3 linked regions of the Struthio camelus genome follow. The protein of the gene in region 1 purifies or fractionates together with the protein of each later gene. This does not show direct contact. Links are inferred from orthologs where the notes say so. Each region holds a gene or a part of one and is shown in the gene's direction. Other genes may lie near its edges.

Region 1 (7,348 bases):
CCATGACCATAACAAGATGGAAAAGCTTTACAAAATGATTCTGTTTAATGCATTACCTGAGCATTTCTGATCACGTTCCCTATGTTTTGACATTTTTGAAAGTTTCGGCATGACACTATTGCAGTTTTTGTGTCCATGGCATTTTTCACTCCCAGAGCTCTTGTTAACATTAAGCCAATTAACTGTTTATTAGCACAGCATAGGATTTTGTTTCTATTTCTTAATAGTACCATCTTAACCTGAAGAGTTCTGACTCAGGCTTTGTGTTTTTCATGACAGCAAAATCTTACAATATTTCTGCAAAATCACACACCTTCAAGATTAAATTAAATTCAGTTAGTCCCACTAGTGCTTTTCAGAAACAGAGACAAAAAATGGACTTCTGAGATACCTGTCATCCTTAAAAAAAATCGTCATTTTTACCTACAACACTGTTAAGAATTCACATATATTTTTCTTCATATATATTCTAATGAACGATTGACCACAATTATGTCACTGTTATGCCATCAAATTAAAAACTTACTTGTTTTTCTTTCTTTTTCTCTGCTTTTGCTTTAAAGGAGCACTATCAAAGGCCTGGTCTGACAACAGATTACAACAACAGGCACTTGCAACTAACTTAAACGGTCTTGAATCATATTCTTAATTAGAACTGGTTGGCAATTTAATTTACTGTTTCTTCTAATGGTAAAGAGTTGTCTTTCATGGAAAATTTCGGTGGGAAAGACTTCTCAGCTTCCAGATGGAGCTTCTAGTAAGAACAAGCAAGATAATCATTCTGCAAGACTCTCACTTGAGATGTGGGAGTTTCAGATTTCTGCTCCTGCTTTGCCTGTTCCAGGCCCTCCCACGTCTTACTGAAATAGGCTAACGATTGGAATATAACATTAGTATGTTTCTCTAGAGCAGTTAAAATTTAACTGTTTAACAAACCAGAAGCTCCCAAAAAGACATTGATAGAGACCCTCCCTTCTTCGTTTTCCTCTGCAAAATGATCTTTGTTTCGGAGAGAGCTGGGAACTCTCATAAGTAAAAGGGTTTGCGTGTGTGTGTCGGGTGCGATAACTATTTTCCATCCACCTTTATTCTTAATGTTATATACTTACATTTCCCTGCACAATGGTACACAGAACAGGCTGTTGGACTACACTTAGATAGCGACTAAGCTCTTACTCTTAGTTTATGGAGTCTCTAGGAATTTAGAGTAAAAAAACAGGTTATAAATGAAGAAAATTATTAATTTATAAACCATGTAAATTACATTATTGTGAAAAATGACTTACCTAGTTCATGATCCTGTGAAGGGTTAGGTAAGGATTCTTCTAAGGGGAACAGATGTTTTAAAAAGGAGGTTAAGTGAACCCTAGAATAAGGAACGTAAGCATTTGGTTAAACTAACAAAAAGCATACTTACCTGCTGGCCTAGATATTTAATTCCAAGGAGTTGTGCACAATCAGTACTAACATTACCACTATTAGGGTAATATACCATATAATACCATATAATATACCACTAAAAATGAGATATTTTGCAACAACAACCCCCTCTACATAATTCGTGGAGCCATACAATGGGACAGGCAGAAAATTATGCTGAGAAAAATTATGCTCTGTGTGATTAGCTGAATTGGCCTCATAGTCCCTACACAGCAGCAGAACTACTGAATGGAGACTATAAAAAACCTAGACTTGTTAGCAGATCTCTCTTCTGCCCACCCGTGGGCAACAGTGTTCTTGAATCTCGGTATTTAATATCCTCATACGTTTCCTTTCTTCCTCTCCTGTTCTCCTACACCCTCTGTTGAATTCGGCACTTCTTTGCCACTCCTAATCCTACAACAGTTCAACATTTCCTTTTTATCTCCAGATGCTTGTCCAAAGCTTGTACACAACTTTCTTGCAGAGGTTTTATCCTTCCAGCAAGATTGCAGGCTCATTTGCTAGAAAGCTGTTAAATGTCAGACTGCTAGCAATGCAAATGCTTATCTATTTGTCACTTCAGCAGCAAATAATCAAGCCTGCTTTTCATTTTGTATTGTGGCAACTGTGTTCAGAAACTTGTCATGCAACACGGTCAGCTACACATTCTGGATTTTATTGTTGTAACTGATTTAAGCAGTTACATACATAGCAAACCCTCCCCAAATAAAAATCTGAGTAGCAATAGGTTAGCCCGAGTTGTATAGCAAATAGTATGTTTTAAGCCATCAGCTTCGAAAATGCTGTATGACTTCAGGGACGACAATGTGAAATACTAATAGGTCACTTCTTCAACCACCACTGTGAGGGTGGTCAAACACTGGAACAGGCTGCCCAGAGAGGTTGTGGAGTCTCCATCCTTGGAGATACTCAAAACCCAACTGGACACGGTCCTGGACCGCCTGCTCCAGCTGCCCCTGCTTCAGCAGGGGGTTGGATCAGGTGATCTCCAGAGGTGCTTGGCATTGAGTCTGGGTGAGTTAAATCATCCAGGGAACAAAAACATTAAGAACGGTTGGACTGAAACATATCTAGGAGTGTTTTCTTAGGCAGAAAGGCTGGCTTAACAGGTTCCCAGCCTCGACTGCTCGTTCCTGCTTGCACACCGTTCACTGTCCCCTTGGTGGTCTTAGGCAAGTCTATGTAAGTTATGAACATGGAAATGGCCTCATTTATCCAAACACAAAAATTGCAGCTCCTCCCAGTATGCATTTGCTCATTCTGGCCATTTCTGTGACCTCATCTATAGTGTGGCCCCAAAGCAAGTGCAGCTGATGCTGCAGGCAGAGCGGGGTGAAAGGCCCGGGGGTGGCACCTCGTTAGCCACCAGAGGCAGAGCGACACGAAATTACATCCTCAGGACAACGGCCACATTATAAAGTGGCAAGCGAGCTCTGACAAAGCCTAATACTGTTTATTTTTGGACGACAACAGTAGGCAGTCTCCACCCAAGGCCAGCTTGCCTTGGGATGCCCCTGCTGCGGGTCGTGTCGGGGCGGCGCTCAGGCCGGGGTCTGCCGCTCCGGGCGCCTGACGCCGCGCCAACACCGCCGCTCTCAGCCCTGCGCAGCGAGCGAGCGCCTCGTGCCAAAATCTAGCAGTTTCATACGACTCCCCAGTCCTTTCTTGGTAACTTCCTTCGAGCAGGTTGCAAAACAGGATACGTTATTTTCCCGCAGGCAGGCCACGTTTCTCCTGAACGTTTATTCTCTTGGGAAAGTGGCTGGCACAGCAACAAAATCAGGCCGGGGGTACAAACCGGCCAGGAACACGTGCGGGCTGGAAAACAGAAGGAAGATTTTTAGCCATCACATCAGTGAGGAGGGGAATAAACCCTTAGCAGAATTAGTAAAGGCAAGAGTCTCATTTGTTTTAGGTTAGAGCGCGGTTATGAAAGGGATTATACAACGGCAGGGCCTTGGAGGGTATTTTTTGCGTCCTCCTACATCCTTTGAGGAATGTTAAGACAAAAGGGGCACGTGACTTCCCGCAGCCGACAAGGCAGCACCGGGGCAGCAATGACTGCAAACGGTGGGCAGCACCTTACCTTTTACAAGGAAAGAAGGGGTGGTGGTGGTGGTGGGGGGGAAGACAACTCCGAACTGCACGACGCGACCTTTCCACGCCTGAAGCCAGGACCCAGCAGCCCGCAGCGCGGGCGGGAGTCGCTTGTGCCCCCGCAGACCACATGTGAGCTTCGGGGCTTTACAGCCGAAGCCTCCACCCCACCCCGCACGCCGACACGAACACGAGGGGGCCGCCGGCACGGCCCTCTCCCGGCGGGCACGTTCAGCGGCCGCGGGGGCCCGCGGGGAGGGGGAAGGCGCCGCGGCCGGGCCCCGAACCCGCGGCCCGGCGGGCGGCGGCGCAGGCGCAGCGCGGCCCGGGGCCGCGGCAGCTGCGGGGCGGTGGCGGCTCGCGGCGGCGCGCAGGGGATGCCGGCTGCCGCCGCCGCCTCCCGGCCCGGCTCGGCCCGACCCGACCCGACCCGCTCGCTGCCGCGCTCGGCGGGCCCTGCCGGCCGGCAGCGCGGGGCGGGGCAGCGCGCAGGGATTTGCGCCGCCGCTGCCCGCGGAGATGCCCGACGCGCGCGGCTGAGCGCAGTGACGCGCATGGCGGCGGCGCTCCCCCTGCGCCGGCGGGGAGGCGGCCCTGCGCCCGGCGCCGCCTGACCGGGGCTCGGCGGGCTGACAGGCCGGCGGCAGGAGGGCCGGGGCGCCGCGCCGCGCCGCGCCGCTGAGCTCGGCGCCCGCGCTGGGGCCGGCGCCGGCTGCGGCATGTCGTGACGGGGCGGCGGCGCGGAAAGGTCGCCACCTGCGAGGGGCCGCGGAGCGCCGGGCGCCGCCGCGATGGCCGGCTCGGGCGTCTGGGCGAGCCTGCGGGCCCTGCTGCGGCGGCCCGAGGCGCCCTTGTTCCTCAACGACTCCAGTGCCTTCGACCTGTGCGACGAGGCGGCCGACGAGGACTTGCCGCGGTTCAACAAGCTGCGCGTGGTGGTGGCGGACGAGGCGGAGGAGGCGGCGCCGCCGCTCAACGGGGCGCCCGGGGCGCCGCCGTCCGACGACGAGTCGCTGCTGGAGCGGGACATCGCGCTGCGCAGCGCCCGGCCCGGCCGGCCCGAGGCCTGCGGCGGCTGCGCCCGGCGGCGGGAGGGCGCCCGGCTGGGCAGGGTGAAGAGGCGGCTGGGCCTGGCCGCCGCCCTCTACCTGCTCTTCATGGCGGGGGAGCTCGTGGGTGAGTTGGCGGCTCTGCGGCGCCGAGGCCCCTTCGTGGCGCTGCCCCGGCCCTGACGCGACGCGACGCGACGCGAGGGAAACGGCCGGTGCGGGGAGAGGTCGGAGGGGCGGGCGGCGCCTTCAGGGCCGGAGAAGGAGCGAAGTCCACGTGCCTTTGCCGTGCGAGGGAAGGGAGGGGGGTCGGCCAACTTTACTTACCCGAACCGGAGCAAGCCCCCAAAACGGCTTGCAGTACACACACACACGTTTAATATATCTAATGGCTTTTTCTTTCCCCCGTTTTGTAACTTTGTAAGCTGGTTTCTCACGAGGGGAAAAAGGCATGGTATCATGTAGGCATAAACAAATAGAAGAAGATGGATAACTTCATCCTTGGTATTTTTTAATTGCTGCCGTAAAATAGTGCTGTGTTTGCAACAGAAGGGGGGACGCGTAGCTTTTAAGGATGACACTTAACTACAGTAACAAAACTCTAGCGTTCTGGGGGTAAACCATCCAGCGTGATACGGTGTGGTGTGGTGTGGTATGGTGGTATTTACATCCTTAGATACAGCAATGCAGTGTTCTTTACAGCTGAAAAGACAAACTCTGAAGCTGTAAGTAATAACAATCCAGTAAAGAAACCCCTCTTTTGACAACTTGCTGGTTTCCTGCTGTGCTCCGTACTAGCACATGCTCCATAGAGATATTAATCAAACCCCTCGGTATTCTTAAGTGTTGTAATTAGAAGCTTTAAAACACCTATTGATTTAATTTACTTTGATCACATGATTTAATTCTTTTGCGGTTTTTGTTTGTTAGTACTTGGAAGAAGTATGTTGGGTTTTACCTGGAAGCTTGTTCCTATATAAGGATTCGATTGTTGGTTGGAAGAATAAATCTGGTGCTCAAGTTCAGCTTTTATTACTCCCTTATAAAGGCATGCTGTCACTAGCTATCCAGGCTCAAGAGAACCTGTACATGATACAGCAATTTGTATAAAATAAGACTGTACTTCATTTAATAGGCTATAGTGGCACTGAAATAAGCTCTGAAGTTAAATGTCCCTTGGATGTGTAGATGAGCTATTAAAAGTTAGGCCCTCCCCATTCTCTAATCATTTGTATTAAGCATAGCGTTCCTCTTATAACCCCTGTTCACTTATCAATTCGTTATCAGTGTCCTGTTACCATCTGTCTTCCGGGAACATGCCGGAAGTACCATGCCATGCCATGTAGTGCGTCCGCTTGGCGTTGCTCACCCTCCTGAAGAATGCATAAACTCTGTCATCCTCTCTCCCCTGATTGAAAGTAGTGGGGAGTGTTACATACTGCCAGTACATCATTATCAATCATTAGACATTCAGTTAGGTGGAGCCAGGTCTCACTAGCAACTGTGCCAATTAATTGCTTTTAAATTGTTTTCATTTGATCATACAAGTCTAAATTGGAGAATTTATTGGCCAAAATTTGCTAGAAAAAAAGTCACAAAAAAATTTCTGGAAGTAAGGAACAGATGCGCCACGCGTACAGTAACACATAGAACAGGGGACTTGCCTCCTCTTTCTCACGCATCCAAGCTTGGGTCAGTGACAACTGAAGATCTGATGACTGCTCTTGTGAAATGAGCTAGTGCTCTCACATCATTTGTTATGGATTGTATCTTTAAGACAGAAACTTCTACAGTATGGGTTAGGGCCAAAAACATGGTTTGAATATAAATAATACAATTTGTCCCACATACATGGGGAAAAAAAATCCTTGGGAGAAATGGTCTGTTTTTCTGAGATAGACCAGAGGATTGACTTTATCTGCATCATGGTTTTACTTGGGGCCTCATTTCAGGAAGATGGGGTAATGGAAAAGAGTGTTTTTTGTCTTCAAGATCTTCCTTTCAGTGTGTGGTTGGTTAATCATTAACAACACTTCCACAGTACATTATCTAATCATGGATAAGGCACTTAGCTTCAAACCTGTTACAGAGATCTGTTTGACTGCCTCTGTTGGCACCCCTCTGTCTCTGTTTTTTTCTGGCTGAGAAAATCTGGCTGATTTTGGTTCAGTGTGAACTCAGGCAAATTTGATAATGGATGTAGCATCTTATCTCAAGTGTAGACATCCTTTATCCTAAGGATGGTTTTATGTGACCGTGTTCGTATCGGAGTCCTGCTGTATGCTGAATTTAGTCTATCTGAAGGGCTGCTTACTGAACGGTATTCCTGAGCTCTTTGCAGCTTGATGCTGAAGTCACTGAGACTGCATCTGTTTGGGGGCTTCTGACTTGATTCACGCTATTGCATACCCCTCTGCAGCTAATATAGGGACAGCACTGGAAGTAATAGGCATTGAGAGTAAAAATATTCCCCCATCAGTGTTGCATCACCGTCGCTTCTCGCTTAAGGCCAGGACTTCGGCAAGCTCAGATCAGGATGATTGATTTGTCTGTACAAAGCATTAGTACTGTAGCATAGACTCATCGTCATCAGGTCTGCCTATGCTCTTACCAGCCCTGTTTCATTATTTGGGCACTGAGGCATAAAGCACTAAGGCCCAGACCCATAAAATATGTGTGCATCCAACTTCCACAGAAAATAAATACGAATTGCTTAGATAAATACTTTTGTGGATCTTGACCTGAATGGCTTGTCCTAG
Region 2 (7,651 bases), on another chromosome or scaffold:
TTTCACCTCACCTTGTGATTTTGTGGCTCTTTCCCTGCTGTAAAGCTCGTTTTTCCACTTCGTTTGGGGAAGCACGTGCATGAATGGGCATGTGCTGGTTGCATTCTCCAAGCAGGTTGTGCTTGGAAGTGATGCTTGATGCTCAGGTGTCTTCCAGGCAGAAAGTCCTGGGGCTCTGGTTGTGCTCAGAAGCATTTGTATGATGTGCTTTTGTTAGTAGGAAAAGCACAGAGGCATCACTTACACCGAGGAGCTAATACCTGTCTTCTCGCGTCTCAGTCCTGTGAAAGGACAGGCTGTGACTAAACAACAGATATCAGATTTCTTTTCTCCTCTTGCCTGGGCTTGGAGCAGTTACTAATTTGTGTTTTAAACCAGCAGCGTCCGTCTTGCATGTTTTGAACCATTAACGACCCAGGTGCTGCCGTGCAGAGGCTCTGGGCAAGCTGTACCTCAGCTTGAGCTGGGTAAAAGTTGTGCTGGACAAGGATGATATCCCGCTCCCAATGTGCTGTGTCAGCAAAACCTCGCGCTCTTTTTAAATGCTATTTTTGTCAATTAGATTTCTTCCAAATCCTCCTCCTCTGTAAGGAGACAGAGCTGGGTCTCCGTGGGGGATTTTGTGCATCAGCCCTGAGGCCAGGGTTTGAGTGCTGCTGGAGGGTGAGAATTGACGGCGTCTGCTGCCTGAGGAGGATGTGGGTCTCACGCCGACCTGTGCAAAACGCTTTGGGGAGGGAGGGGAGCTGGAGCGGGAGAAACGCGTGCGAGTCCCTGGCTGCGTGAGGTGAGACCCACGGAGGGCCGAGCGGGGTTGGCGAGGCCACGGGGAGCAGAAAGGGAGTGCAGCGGTCGGGCAGGAGACACGTTGGTGGAGGGGATGAGAAGCAGGACTCGCACGTGTCTGCTTCCTCCCTCCTGAAGCACAAGGCTTTTCTTTATACACTAAGTCTCTTTCCTTTTTATATAAATTTCTCCAGGGACTAAACTTAGGCAGCCCATAAAATCTGTTCTAGGGCTCTTCAGAGAATGAAACCCAGAGCTATCTGAACCTCCCTGTTAGTTTTCCTTTGAGGGAAGCTTGTGATCACTCCATGCAAACTGCAAGAAAATGGTGTTGCTCCTGCCTGTCTCTTTGGAAAGACCCAAAGCCACCTTGGTGCTGGGAGCCAGGGAAAGGAGAAGAAATGCTGCTGTGAGCAAATCTGGGATAATCCGTCCTTCATGCCTGAGCAAAGGCTTTCCTCTAATTCCCATCACAGGTGGGCTTAAGCCTTGGCTTTCCTGCGAGCTGCAGAATAAGAGGCTTTTGCACATGTAGAGGTGTCATGAACAGGGCGCGCAATAGCAGTGACGCTGCTGGGATGTGACAGTGATCGTCCTTCCTTTAGCTCTGCGTGGGCCAGGGTTGCTTTTCTGCCCTCTGTCCCTTCGGGGTCTGCTTTTGGCTGCCTCAGGCAGGTGTCTGTGTGGCCGGGGTGCAGCTGGGCTGGAAGGGACGTGTTCAGTGCCAGCGCCTCGCTGCCCCGCGCGCCAGGAGAGGGGTCCAGCATGCGAACGACGGCTCTTTGCTGCAGCACTGGTTTTGGCAGCAAGGGCTGCTTTTTCGGGCTCCCACCCTCCCAAGCATCGGGGCTCTTGCAGATTCTCCCAGCTCTCCGATCTTGCTTCCCGCCAGCCTCTGAGGCTGGGGAGATTCCAAACAACCAAAGCTTTGGATTACATTTAATTTAATGATTTAATTTAATAACAGGAAAGCGGGTTTGGATTGCTGTTCTCAGGGGGCTGAATTCTTAACGAACGGTGACTGCTCAGCACAAGCGCATCCAGGGGATGCGTACAGAAGGCAGGAAGGAGATGCGTGCCCTGAACACAGGGAGGGGGGCAGCTTTGAGTGCGCTCTCAGGGCTCGGGGGACTACAGATCTGGTGTAGGCTCCCTGCCGCTCCCACGAGGAGAGCTGCGGGGAGGATAGAGCTCGTCCTGCACAGCCCCGTCGCAGCCGGGCACGTCTCCCCCACGCAGCTGGCTGCAGGCTGCTCCCCTCCTCCCGGAGCAGGGCTGGTATCGGAGCTCTTGGCTCCGATAGCACAGCTTGCCCTTGTAGAGTTGTCCGGGTTATCAAAATGCTGAGCGGCTCTGAACTCCGCGGCACGCAGACCGTGCCAGCTGCTGAGGAGGTGTTTGGAGGAGCGCGATTGCTCTGTGAAGTCCCTTACCTTTGGACTGTAGGTGTGAGTGTTAAAGCCTCTGCTATTCAGCCCCTTTGCAGCACTGGCCCAGGTCCAGGCCTGCTCTGTGTCAAAAGTCCTCCAAGTTTGCTACAGAAAAGTCCCTTCCGGCTCAAAGAGGGGACAAACAGTGGCAGAACCAGAACTTCCTTCCTCAGGAGCTTGTGCCTGGGCATCTCTGGTGCCGTCCGTGCCTGGCAGAGTCCAAGGGTGTGTGTGCATATCCTCTTGGGAGAGGGAGCACCTTTACCCCGGGACAGGCTGAGCCAGGCTGTCCGTGGTATCAGCGCAGCTGCTCCAGGTGCATGTTGAGCACCTCAGCAGCCTGATACATGGAGGGTCCTTTTAAATAAACATGGAGTGGCTGTTACCATGCACACCCCTTCCCCATCTGGAGGTCCCCAGCACTCGTACCTCTGCTCCGGACACTCGCTAGCTCCCATAGCCGTGCTGGAGCACCACGGGGCTGCCTTGTGCCGCCTCCAGCTGGAGGCTGAGGGGGAGCAGATGTCGGCCGCCTGCAGCAGCCGGCAGGATCTGCACGGTGAATTCCCACTGCTGGGATGAGAAACCTGCTCAACTGAGCTGCTGCCTGGAAGTCTCTCCTGGCAACCTCCATGTTGGCAAATACATGACTCTCACTGTCTCCCCCCGGCCCAGGGTCTGTCGCGTTCCTGGGGCTGTACCTCGCGTTCGGCTATGGCGCAGCGCTGCTCTGCAACCTCATTGGCTTTGTCTACCCTGCATATGTCTCGTAAGTACCGGTGCCTTGGCCCGGCCTCCCTGCAGCATCTGCTGCTGGGCAGCCCAGCTTGTTACTGAGCTGCCAACGGCATGTTAAATATCAAGTGCTCATGCTGAAGAGCGTTCCCTGCCTTAGCTGAGGGACCAGGTATCTCTGGTAAATGAACACCCCCGGATGGTGGTTATGATCAGGAAGCTCCCGAGGAAACAAGGGCTCTTGAAGACAAATATTTTGAAAACCCTGGGGCCTGGCAAGGTCTCAACTTGGGGCAGCGGAGCCTGGTAGCCAGGTTTGCTCCAAAGTTGGAGGACTGGGGAAGACATGCCCATCCTGGAAACAGGACTGAAGAAGCCATGACCTATCCCCTCTTCTTCCCGCAGCATCAAAGCCATTGAGAGCTCCAACAAGGAGGATGACACCACGTGGCTCACATACTGGGTGGTGTACGGCGTCTTCAGCATAGCCGAGTTCTTCTCTGACACCTTCCTCTACTGGTTCCCATTCTACTACGCTGGGAAGGTAACAGCTCCGCAGTGGGAGCAAGGGCCTGCACAGGCTGGAGCCCACTCACACGATGGCTGAACCTACAGGAAAACGTGTGATGGGCTCTGACCCCATAGCAGGGCAGTTGTGGTGGTGGCGGCAGCCAGGTGTAGCTTAGTGGGAGACCGCTGTCCTGCTCAGGACTGTCCCCTGCAGAGCTCACTGCAGTCAGCCATGGCCCTGGTACCTCCAGCCCTGGGAAGCTGCCTTTGGACAGGAGCAGAGCCAGGCTGGACGAGGGTGGAGCACCTCAGCCACTGCCCCATAACTTCCCTCCTTCTGGAGGCTGCCTAGCTCAGCTCCTGCATGCCCTGCCTCCCCTCCCAGCCTCGGTCTTCCAGTTCTGGAGTGTCTCTCCTCCTTGTAGTGCCTATTCCTGGTATGGTGCATGGCCCCCGTGTCCTGGAACGGGTCGCAGGTGCTGTACCAGAACGTCATCCGGCCCTGCTTCCTCAAACACCACCAGGCTGTGGACAACGTGCTCGGCAACCTCAGCACCAGAGCCCTGGACGCGGCTTCCATCGTCACCCGAGAAGGTAACGTGGGTCCCTTGCCTCCTGCTCCCGGCCCTCACCGTCCGGCTCCGTGTCCGGGGCTGGACAGAGCGGGGCGTTCGCCCTGAGCGACCTCAGGGACGCGTTTTGGGACGTGAGGGCTGAGCAGGACCCCGGTGGGACGCGGGCTGCTCTGACGCGTAGCACCAGCAAGAGGAGCGTCTCCCCGTCACGCCGCGGGCTGTGCCCTCGGCCGCCCACCGCCCCGTCCACACCGAGCCGGAGGCTCGCTCTCCTCCTCTTTTAAATCTCTCTCTCCTTCTTTTTGCGCCTCCCCGTCCAGTCCTGCAGACTCTGGTCAGCAGCAGAGCCCGCCTGGCGGCCGAGGTGGCCCCTCAGCCACAGCTCAGCTCCTCCGTATGTAAGAGCCGCAGGTCCCCCCCGCTGCCGGGACAAGGGGCCGCCCGGCCCGGCCCGTCTCCCCCCCGCTTCTCCCTAGCCAGCCCCGCCCGTAGCGCAGACGTCCCCCCGTTTCTCGGCCCTCGCCTCCGCTTCCCCCCCCCCACCACCACCCCGGTGCCGCCCGTTGGGGCCGAACCGGGGGTGACGCCGGCGCCGCCTCTCTCGCCCCCGCAGCCGCCAGAGCAGCGATGAGGCCGGCGCCGGAGCCGCCGCGCGACCAGTGAGGCCGCTTCCGCTTCCGGTTCCGGTCGCGAGGGAGGGGGGAGGGAGGAGCCCCCCCCCCCCCCATGTAATAAAGCCCCGGGGCCGCGGCGCCCCCAACCGCCGCTCCCGTGTGCTCCCTGCTCCCCCTTCCCGGAGGGAGGGAGGCGTCGCCATGGCAACGCGCCGCCGCGCACGGTCCTTTAGCAGGGGGCGGGGCCCGGCGGGCGGTGACGTCGCCGTCACGTGGTCCTAAGAGGGCGGGAGGGAGGAGGAGGAGGAGGCGCGTGCGGCGCTGGCGCTACGGTGGCCGGGAGGCGGCGGCCGGTCGGGGTAAGGGGATGTCTGGGGCGGCGGGCCTGCGTGTGAAAGGACCGTATCGCGGGGGGGAGGGGGGGGTCGGTCTGTCTGTCTGTCTGTCCTGAGGTGATGGGAGGTCAGTCTGTCTGCCTGGAGGGGCTGGGGGGGGCGTGCGTCTGTCTGCCTGCCCCGAGGGCAGTGGGGGGGTCTGTCTGTCTGTCCTGGGGGGGGGCAGTGCAGGGGGCGTCTGCCTGCCCCGAGGGCACTGGGGGGGTCTGTCTGTCTGTTCTGGGGGGGGGCAGTGCAGGGGGCGTCTGCCTGCCCCGAGGGCAGTGGGGGGGTCTGTCTGTCTGTCCTGGGGGGGGGCAGTACAGGGGGCGTCTGCCTGCCCCGAGGGCAGTGGGGGGGTCTGTCTGTCTGTCCTGGGGGGGGGCAGTACAGGGGGCGTCTGTCTGCCCCGAGGGCAGTGGGGGGGTCTGTCTGTCTGTCCTGGGGGGGGCAGTACAAGGGGCGTCTGCCTGCCCCGAGGGCAGTGGGGGAGTGTCTGTCTGTCTGTCCTGGGGGGGGCAGGGGGGCAATGGTGCGCAATCTGTCTGTCTGGAGGAACAATGGGAGGACCTGTCTGTCCCCGGGGGGGGAGGGGGGATGAGGGAGCTCGATTTGTCAGTCTGGGGGTGGGAGGAGGGGGGCTGTTCATCCCAAAGGCAGTTTGTCTGTCCAGGGGCACAGCAAGGGGCGTCTGTCTATCCCAGGGCAGCGAGGGGGGCTCTCTGTCTGGAGGAGCAGCAAGGGGGGAGGCGGTCTGTCTGTAGTGGGTACAGGTAGTGAGGGGGGAGCCTGGTTGCCCGGGACAGTTGGGGGGGGAGGTCTGTCTGTCTGTCCGTCCCAGGGCAGGGGATCTGTCTGTCCCAGGGACAGATTGCAGGGATGGTCCGTATGTCTGTCCAAACGGCAGTGAGGGGGGGGTCCGGCTGTCCGGGGGAGCGGCAGTGGCACGGCCCCCGTCAGCCCTGCGCCCTCTGCGCCAGGCTCTGTGCATGAGCCTGTCCCGTGATGAGCTCCAAGGCCAAGAGGGTGCTGCCCACCCGGCCTGAGCCGCCCACCGTGGAGCAGATCCTGGCGGACGTGAAGGGCACCCACCCATCCGACCCTGTCTTCGTGCTCGCCGCGGAGCCGCACAGAGGAGGTGGGCATGATGGCAGCCCCTCGCCAGGTGAGCCCGCGTGGTCCCGCCACGAGTCCTCCCGGGCTCGGCAGAAACCTGTCTGCTCTGCGGCCGTCAGGGCCGTGGGGCGCGACGGGGGCGAGAGGGACGGGGCGCTCTGCCGGCATCCGCTGAGCCGCCTCTCCCACCCTGCCAGATTTCCCCGCACCCGTGAAGCATGAGGACGCTGCCGATGAAAGAGAGCGCTTGTATCGGCAGAGCCGTTCCTACGTTGAGATGAACCAGCAGCTGCAGGAGTCCTGCCAGCTGCTGAAGGAGAAATGTGAGGAGCTGAGACGGGTGGGAGCGACTTTGGAGCAGGATATCTTGGAAATGAGGCAAAAAGCTTTCTGAGACCCCTTGCCTCCCTTGAACAGCTGAGGCAGCTGGGAGCACGGACTCATACTTGATTTGAAAAGCTAACGCAGGTCCTTGGCACTCGAGACTCCTCTGCTCTCATCGCAGAGGGCTTTGGTGTGGGCCAGCCTGCAACAGGCGCCCTGAGGGCGTCCCTTGAGACTGTGTTTGCATATTCCTAAGTCACTGAAAGCTACTACAGAAGCAGCATCATTTGTGTTTGATTTACTAGAACTGACATTGCTGCTTCTTCCCTGTGACCCCAGAGGCCCTGCAGGCTGTGCGAATGCGGCTTCGCTGGCTTGTCTTGCCTCATCGGGCCTGCGAGGGGCCACAGAATCGTTTCTGAAGCTAAGGGCTGTGCCGCGTTGGCAGCCTGACCTCTCCCCGGGGAGTGGTAGTGATCTCGCTGCTCATGCCAGGGAGGGATCCTGGGAGCTGGCCCTTGGATCCGTCATGAGGACGCAGTAGCAGGTTCCTAGCAGGAAGACTGGCTCAGCCCGGGTGCAGGAGGCCACGCTCGGAGCTTGTTTGCTTTGTTGTTTCTGTGAACTCAGTGCCATTGCCCTTTGGTAAGTGGCATGTCTGCGTCCTCGCACCACCGGTTCACCTATGACTTCTCCATCTGGTACTGCCCTGAGGACGACAGCATCGCCTCAGACATCTTGGCAGCCTTGAAGCGAGAGGGGTTTCAGGGCTATGCAGAGCATCAGGACCAAGTGGCGGGGACGTCCATCGTCCTGACAGCCACCAAGGTCATTCAGGCCAGCCGAGTTGCCATCCTCCTCCTGTCCGCCAGGTCCCTGGGTGACCCTTGGTGCCAGCGTGTCTCCGAGTGGAACCTGCATCACAGCATTCATGAGAGTGGGACTAAGATCATCCCTGTTTGTGTGGGCATAAAGAAAGATGAAGTGCCCATGTTTCTACAGCACCTTAATGAACTGGAATATGAAAATGTCTTCTTCTACAAGAGGCTTGTGGACAGCCTGAGAAAACCTCAGTCAGGGGCAAGGAAAACACGGTGTGCGTGTTCCTCCAGAGCAGCCCAAGCAAAGAGCTGAGAGAGCTACGTGTGGCCGGGGACAGTGATGGGCTGGTGGTTCCTTGCCAAAGC
Region 3 (7,188 bases), on another chromosome or scaffold:
TGTCCTATTTCTCTTGCTAAGAGGACAAGAAAAAAGCACCTTTCATCACAGCAAGGGTCAAACCAAAAGGGAGCTGGCAAACTGGTTAAATTCAGGCCGTAGTCTTAATCCAAGAATTAGCAATAGAAGATTGACAGTACGCTATGATTGACATCGCTTATTCTCCATTTCTCTGCCATCCACTAAACTTTGTTATCCTTTATTAAACCTACATGATTGTTTTTGGCCATGAATCAAGTAAATGATGATCAAATGCGAAAGTACAGTGTCTTGCAGCAGCTGGTTTGTCTGCCTTCACTCCCCATTAGCTAACAGTATCTGAGCTTGAAGTCTTCCTGCTGGAAAAATGCCACAATTTAATCTTGATAATTTAAGAGTGTCTAAAATAGCCTCATAATTGACAGAGAAGATTTAGATGTGTATAATATGAAACAGAAACATTATGATAACTTCACGGAGTTAGAAGCTTGATGCTTGAATCCCATTACTTCATAGAGTTTCCGTACAGGTTCTCAGAATTTAGATCTTAATACACTGAATGAATCTTATTTATTGGAAGTCAATAGGTAAAGGTGTCTGTTGGATTTAAAAGGATGTTATATAATAGACACGACAGAATGCTAGTCTAATCATAAAGTAGTAATATAATATGTGGTTAGTGATGGAGTGAAAACAGATCGAATAAAGGACAACAAAAGTATCGAATTTTAAGTAGGAAAGAATTAGATTTATATTTTGTGGAGGTTACAGTCCTGTCTCTGTTCTCTTCTTGTACAAAATGACCTTCCCAGTCTCCTGCTGTGCTGATTTTGGAACTGCTCAGTAATTCATGAATAATGCTATGTTGACATGGTTAGTAGGATGTTTACATTTGAATATAGTTGTATAGCTTAATGGGGGCTGTCAGGAAAGACAAAGCAGGAAGGGAAAGGAACAGTTAAGATAAGCCACATCTCCACAAATACTTAGGAGCTCTTTCTTACAGTATTATGTCAGCTCAGGAAAAAGCTTAATAACACATGCAATGAAAAAAAATTCTAGCAGATTTTATAAAGGAACATAGAGCTGAGACTGGGGGAGCTGTCAGGCGTTGTCTGAGAGAGCTGGATGATCGAACCCACAGGCACCAGGAGGCATGGGTGAAGAAAATGGGCTTCCTAGGTTACTTTGGGAAAGGGGATTTTAGGTAAGGTATCTGTGTTTGTTTAACTTAAAGCCCTCTTTCTGGTAATCATTTTCTTACTACTACTTAAATAACAAAAGCAAAGGTTGTTTTATTGCTCTGCTTGATTGGGAAGACTGCAGATTTACATCCTAGAATACATGAAGCTGTGGAGCTAGCTAGCTTGTGGAGCTGTGTGAATCCTGCTCCAGAAGACAAGGTTCCCTGTGATCACCACAAAGCGCACGCAATCGTCTTAAAAACACTCCTTTATAGGTAAGTATTCAAACCTTTGGATATGTTTTGGACCTTTTGGACCCTTGGTATTAAATAAAATATAGAATTTTCCCAACATGAAGAAGAGGTATCTAAAAAAATGAGGAGAAACAAGGAAGAAATACGATTATATTTTTTTTCTGCAAATCCTCCCCCAACCGTGCTAATTGCTTTGAATGATATATGCATACATTTATACAAAGAACAGTTTTCTGAGATTGTCCAACAATTGATACAGGTTATAATTCCATCAGCATATGTGCAAATGACAGTGCATCAAAATTATTGCCTAAATGTGCATGAATAGTACATTTTTTATAGCTTGTCAAGAGAAAAAATATGCTTAGTATACAACTACCAGAGTAGAATATTAATGACCAATGTAATACAGAGTAGGAACTTTGGAACATCTCATTAAAACATACCCAGGTTGTATAATAACAATACAGAGATGAAAACTAGCATATTTCTTAATTTATTCAGTATGCAACTCATTATCTGTATATTTCTTGTGATAACATTAAGATACATTTCCTTGTGAACCACATGCAACTAACCAGAGGCAATTTTATTTAGTGGTTTACACGTTGCAAGCAGATGTCTGTTTAAAAAGCAGCAAATTTTGCTTTGTCATTTTCAATTTTGATTATAAAGCTGTTTTATCCCGGGGGGGAAAATAAGCTAATCTGTCTTTACAAACAAGAAGATACATAGAAAGGAAAGTCCTGATCCTAAACCAAATAAGTAGTAGTAGACCGAAAAGGCATCTTGCCCGTCTAGCTAGTGGAGAAAAATGAATCTTTGTCTGGAAAAGTGTCCAAAGCTCTCACATCAAAAACTCTCCTTAAGGAGGCTGAACATCAGTGAAAATAAACTGAACAGAAAAAATCCTCTGGCAGTATTTTGTCGTTGCTCTGGTTTTCTTATTTCCCAAGCTAACCAAGGTTGGATTTTATTAGTGCTTGATCAGAGGATCTTCCCGGTAGAAGTCAGGATCCTTGTGGTGGTTTGACTTTGTGTCATCCTTACCAGGAAAATAAGGGGCTAGGCTCCAGCCTTTCAAATCTGATCAAAAGGAAAGATGCCAATTGCTTGTGTTCATTAGGAAAAAAATGTCTGAGAGACTAGAGACGATAGCCCTGATGCCGTACTCAGCTGGAATTTGATTAATGAGATGGGCTTTGTCTAGGTTTTCTTTCTTTCAGTTGGATGTGGTATTCCTCACTTTCCGTGCTACTACCATGAGTAACCTGCGTTTATTAGAGAGTAATTGGGCACAGTGATATAAAACCTAACCCAAACCCACAGAAACTAATGCTCTTGTCCTAACAAAGGCATAAGCTACTGTATTAAATGCCAGAAGGCTTTTATCCAGCTTGACCTGTCCCAGATTAAGATGTTTTGATAAGCGTTGTCTGTTCCAGGCTGTTCTGCCGGGGGTATTAGCTGCATTCAGCACGCGTTTTCCTCCGCTGGTCTCCGCTGTGCCCCCACGCTCCCAGGCACACAACCACGCGGGAGCCTGACTCTCAAGTTCCCGTTTTCCTACCTACGCACTGACTTCTCCTTCCTCTGCATGGATACCCCACCGCTTCAGGAAGACGTTCAGGAACCAAGCTGACCTCAGATCCGTCTGCTCTAAACACTAACTGTGCTCCTGCCGCAGAACCAAGGCTGCAAATTTGAGAGACCTTTTTAGGTCAAAACATTGCAAGAATCCCACGCTAGCAGCAACGGTTTGCTTCGAGCCATTGCAAAATAGTTACAAGAAAAAAATGCAGTGTTTGAGGACTTGAAGCCAGATTTCGTATCAAAAGACGTGTAGGCTTCCATTTGTACGCAGAAGCGCCTGTCAAAGAGCCGACTCCGTAACGACCAATTTATCTTTAAGCGCTTATGTTTGGGGCTGTGCACACATCTCGACGCCTCAGTGCTGGCCGACCTTAGTGCTGCGCCTACCAGAAGAAGGGAATGGAAACAAAACAACAGGTAAAGCACCGCTTCCATCCATACTACTGCAGCGGCCAGGCGTTTCTCAAACTGAGGCCCTAATCCCAACGCTTTACACCTTAATGAGGGCAACGAGGGGCAGAAAGCCCAGCGCGCCAGGCGCTGGGGGAAACCGCCGCTCCCCAACGGCGCGCCGCCCTAGGCGGCAGCTCGTCCTCCCTTGGAAACTCCCCCCCCCCCCCCCCGGTTAAAGGAAAGCGGGAGCGGGCGCCCCGGGGAGGCCGCGCCGTTTGGGCTCTTCCGCCCCGAGGAGGCGACGCGCCGCAGAGCGGCCGCGCTGGGGCCGCCCGGGCCTCGTGTGGCGACGGCGCCGCCTCGCGCCCCTCCCCCACCCCCGCTCTGCGCAGGCGCGGGAGGAGAGGAGAGGGGAGGGCGGCACGCGCCCGCCAGCCGCCGCCCGGGCGACGGGGCGGGGCGGCGCCGAGCACGTGCGCGGCAGGGGGGCGGCCGGCGCCCGCCTCCGCTGAGGGGAGGAGCGCGCGCGCGCCGCTCCTGCCGGCGATGCCCGGAGGGGAGGGACGAGCCGCCGCCGCTGCCGCCATTGTACCCCGCTCCGGTTTGAAAGCGGCGGCCCCTGCCGCGCCGCGGCCCCGCCCGCGCTGTGATTGGCGAGCCAGAGGGAGGCAGCCGGCGCGTGCCAGGCCCCCGGCGTGTCGCAGCCGAGCCGTCCGGGCGGCCCGCGCTGCCGCGGCGCCCCGCGTTCCGCCCCGCGCCTGTGCGCGGGCCCCGAAGGGGAGCCGGGCCGGGCCGAGCCGAGCGCGGCGGGTCGCGTGCTGCTGGCGCCGCCGCCGCCGCCGCCATGGCGAGGGGAGGCGGCGGCAGCGGGAGGGGGTGACCGCGCGCCCCTGCCCCCCTCATGAGACTGTGGCTGGGCTGGCTGGGCTGCTACACGCTGCTGCTGTGGGCGCTGCGGAGGAGGATGTGGTCTGGCCCCGCCAGGTACCTGCGGAGCCCTTTATCCAGGTCCCTCTACGCCAACATGATGGGCAGCCACAGCCCGCCGGCGCCGGGCACCAGCGAGAGCCACCAGGTACCAGCGGGGGCGGCGGCCGGGGGCCGGGCGGGCTCCTGAGGCGGCGGCGGCGGCGGCGGGGCGGGCAGCGCCAGACAAAGGGAGGGTCCCGCTGCGCCCGCCCCGCCGCCGAGCCGGGGGTGCGCCGGGGGCCGCGGCGGCGGCGGAGCCCCCCCTCCCGGCGGGGCGAGCCCGGCGGCCGCGGCTGCGAGCCGGGTGTCAAACCCGGCCGGCGAGAGCGGCGGCAGCACCCGCCCCTGGCGGTCCCGTGTCGTGTCCCCCCCCCGCGCCGGGAGCTGCCTGAGTAACCGGCGGCCGGAGGACGCGCAGGTGGCGGGGGCGGGGTGGGGCCGCAGCCGCGTTTGGGTTCGTACCGGGGCGTCTGGAGACAAACAGCCCGAAACAGCGGCGAGGAGGGAAGCTGCAAAGCCGGCCGAGGCCTTGAACTGCCGGTAGCGGAAGGCGAGCTGGAAACGGAGGTGGCGATGTGATCCGGCGGCGAGAAAGGGCGAGCGGAGCTGTTGGGCGGCGCAGGCGGCGAGCAGCACCGCCCGCGGGGCCCTGGGGCCCGGCCCGGCCCCGGTGCTGGGACGCGCTCGGGCCCGGGCTGCGCTCCTGAAAACCCGGCGGCGCTTGAGAAGCGCTGGTCATGACCGCTGCAGCGCCGAAGGAAGGGGCTGACTTATTCTAAGGAAAATCCGCATAGCCCAGCTAACGAAGAAGACGTAACCCGAAATACTCGAGGGATGCTGACAAAAGGAAGGACGTGATTATACGCTGTAACTCTTCGAGCTGATGCGTTACTGTTTTAGCTTTGTTAGTGCTCAAGGTGGGTGCTAACACCGGGGATCTTGCTGCTGAGCGAATAGATTACTGCTGTTTGGATCGTTCGGTACGTAAAGGGGAGGATGGAAGCAGAATTTAGCTTTCCAGCGCAAACTTTCTTCCTGCGAACAAAGAAAACGTGCAGTTCTTTTCTGTTGTTAAAAACTGTACTAGAAAGACGAGGAGATAAGAACACGGGCCACGGAGGTGATTATTTCATTCACAGGTAGATAGATGGTCTGCAGTGGATAGTCTCCATCTCTAATGTATAGGATCTGGGTTTTAAACTTCAAGTATTGATTGTTTAGTGAGTTCTTAAAGATCGGTTACCGAGTTTGTGGGGTTACCCTCAGAAGTAAGGGTTGCATGTTGACCCGCAGGTACTTTCACTCTCTGAAGTTTTACTGAGTTCCTCAGTTTTACATTAGTTAACGGAAATGGTATTTTCTTCCTTTCATTAATATTAGGCAAGAGTTGCCAATAATAATTTTTATTATAACAAAGGTCTTCACAAATTTCTCTTCAGATTTCTTTGATGCGCTGTAGTATTTCTACTATTGTGCTATACCAGATTGGTACAGATTGATGTTGTGAGACTAGTGGCCTGAAAAGGGCTCCTTGCATTTTGGACAAGGAGAAAAACAAAAGGAATTTCTGTTTTGAGGAAGTAGTTCCAGAACGAAGCTTTCTTTCCTTACTTTTGTTATTTGAAATTTGTATTGTTTTTATCCTGGGCACTTTTTGCTTATAGTTTCCTGATATTTCTAATACTCACTAGCGTTATATCGGCAGTTATAAACGTTTTAACCGATAACCTTATGCAAGGTAAGCTTTAACTATGAAGAAGGAGGAGGAGGGCTATGAGCAATCCCTAATTTCTGGAAATATGCTTCCCTTCTCAAAGGGGCTCCTCTTCTCAAAGTTGCCACCATCATCATTCTTCCAGTGGTTATATCAATATATATCAATATTTGGAAATCTTGAAGACAAAAGACTGTTGGTTTCCATGGCTTCCATGGCTGGATCCTGGAACTACAGATGATGAGATTCAGTGCAGAACCAAGGTTTATGAATAAGCTCAGGGACAGCACATACGTAGTCACGTTACTTACGGATCAAAGCCCGTGATTCCCAAACTTCTGATGCTTTATACACCACCTTCTGGATTGAAAATGGCAGCGCAAGGTAGATGTTCTGAGCCACTCCAAGCCTGTGCAGTGCAGCTAGGCAGCAGCCTCATGAACAGCTGCTGAACCTGACCCATATCCCAGCCTGCTCCTCAGCTCCCTGGGATTGTTCACTTCTGCCAGACTTTTGAAATTGGTTTCCAGAGCTGGATGGACAAAACATGCAGGCTGCTGCTTTGGTGCTTTTTCACAATTCGCTGACAATTCCTTTTGGGAATCACTGGTCTGTGCTGGTTCACTCACTTCATACTGTGCTGCCGCGAGAGAAGACCCAAACTGGTAAATGGGCTGTCATGGGGATCCTTGTGCCATGCTGCGTCGTGTGATACAGACTTGCTCAAAGTCTAGTTTTTAGAGGGATGGATCATCTACTCGTGCTACCTACAAATGCTGTTGGGAAGCACTGTTTGAGAGCCCAGTTCTGCAGGGAGGTACGCAACGTGCAAGTTTTCGAAATAGACCTGTGCAGGCATATATTTGCTCCCTTGGCTGAAGGGTATGGAAATACCTTGTTACTTTGGGGTCTGTGTCTGATGGAGCTGCTGTTTATCAATCTGGCACAATGATCTTGTTGCAGCTGTCTACTCCCCTCTGTTTGTTGGCACTGTTACTGTGAAGCAGCAGGATACTGGAATACGAATCCTGTACTGTTGTTATTTGTATTACAGTAGTGACCAGCAGTCCCATTGTGCTGAACATGGTGTAAACATGCATTA

Evidence for each region.
Region 2: the proteins of SLC30A4 (region 1) and C26H19orf25 purify together in Homo sapiens (affinity purification with mass spectrometry; 3 studies listed by BioGRID and IntAct, counting the BioPlex papers as one, with this or other methods). This does not show direct contact. The link is inferred for Struthio camelus from reciprocal best matches to the Homo sapiens genes SLC30A4 and C19orf25.
Region 3: the proteins of SLC30A4 (region 1) and METTL9 purify together in Homo sapiens (co-immunoprecipitation; 3 studies listed by BioGRID and IntAct, with this or other methods). This does not show direct contact. The link is inferred for Struthio camelus from reciprocal best matches to the Homo sapiens genes SLC30A4 and METTL9.

The regions. Positions count from the first base shown.
Region 1 is NC_090953.1:12,652,002-12,659,349, forward strand, and holds the start of SLC30A4 (probable proton-coupled zinc antiporter SLC30A4), read left to right. Parts: upstream 1-4,331; coding exon 4,332-4,716; intron 4,717-7,348. UniProt on the Homo sapiens protein: Probable proton-coupled zinc ion antiporter mediating zinc import from cytoplasm potentially into the endocytic compartment. Controls zinc deposition in milk.
Region 2 is NC_090967.1:6,861,844-6,869,494, forward strand, and holds the start of C26H19orf25 (UPF0449 protein C19orf25 homolog), read left to right. Parts: upstream 1-4,667; 5' UTR 4,668-4,695; intron 4,696-4,904; exon of another isoform or gene 4,905-5,009; intron 5,010-5,931; exon of another isoform or gene 5,932-6,004; 5' UTR 6,005-6,029; coding exon 6,030-6,189; intron 6,190-6,337; coding exon 6,338-6,534; 3' UTR 6,535-7,651. Other genes in the region: REEP6 (receptor expression-enhancing protein 6), read left to right, coding at 2,604-2,775, 2,892-2,985, 3,357-3,495, 3,887-4,055, 4,357-4,667.
Region 3 is NC_090956.1:9,316,518-9,323,705, reverse strand, and holds the start of METTL9 (protein-L-histidine N-pros-methyltransferase), read left to right. Parts: upstream 1-4,186; 5' UTR 4,187-4,304; coding exon 4,305-4,478; intron 4,479-4,834; exon of another isoform or gene 4,835-5,095; intron 5,096-7,188. UniProt on the Homo sapiens protein: Protein-histidine N-methyltransferase that specifically catalyzes 1-methylhistidine (pros-methylhistidine) methylation of target proteins.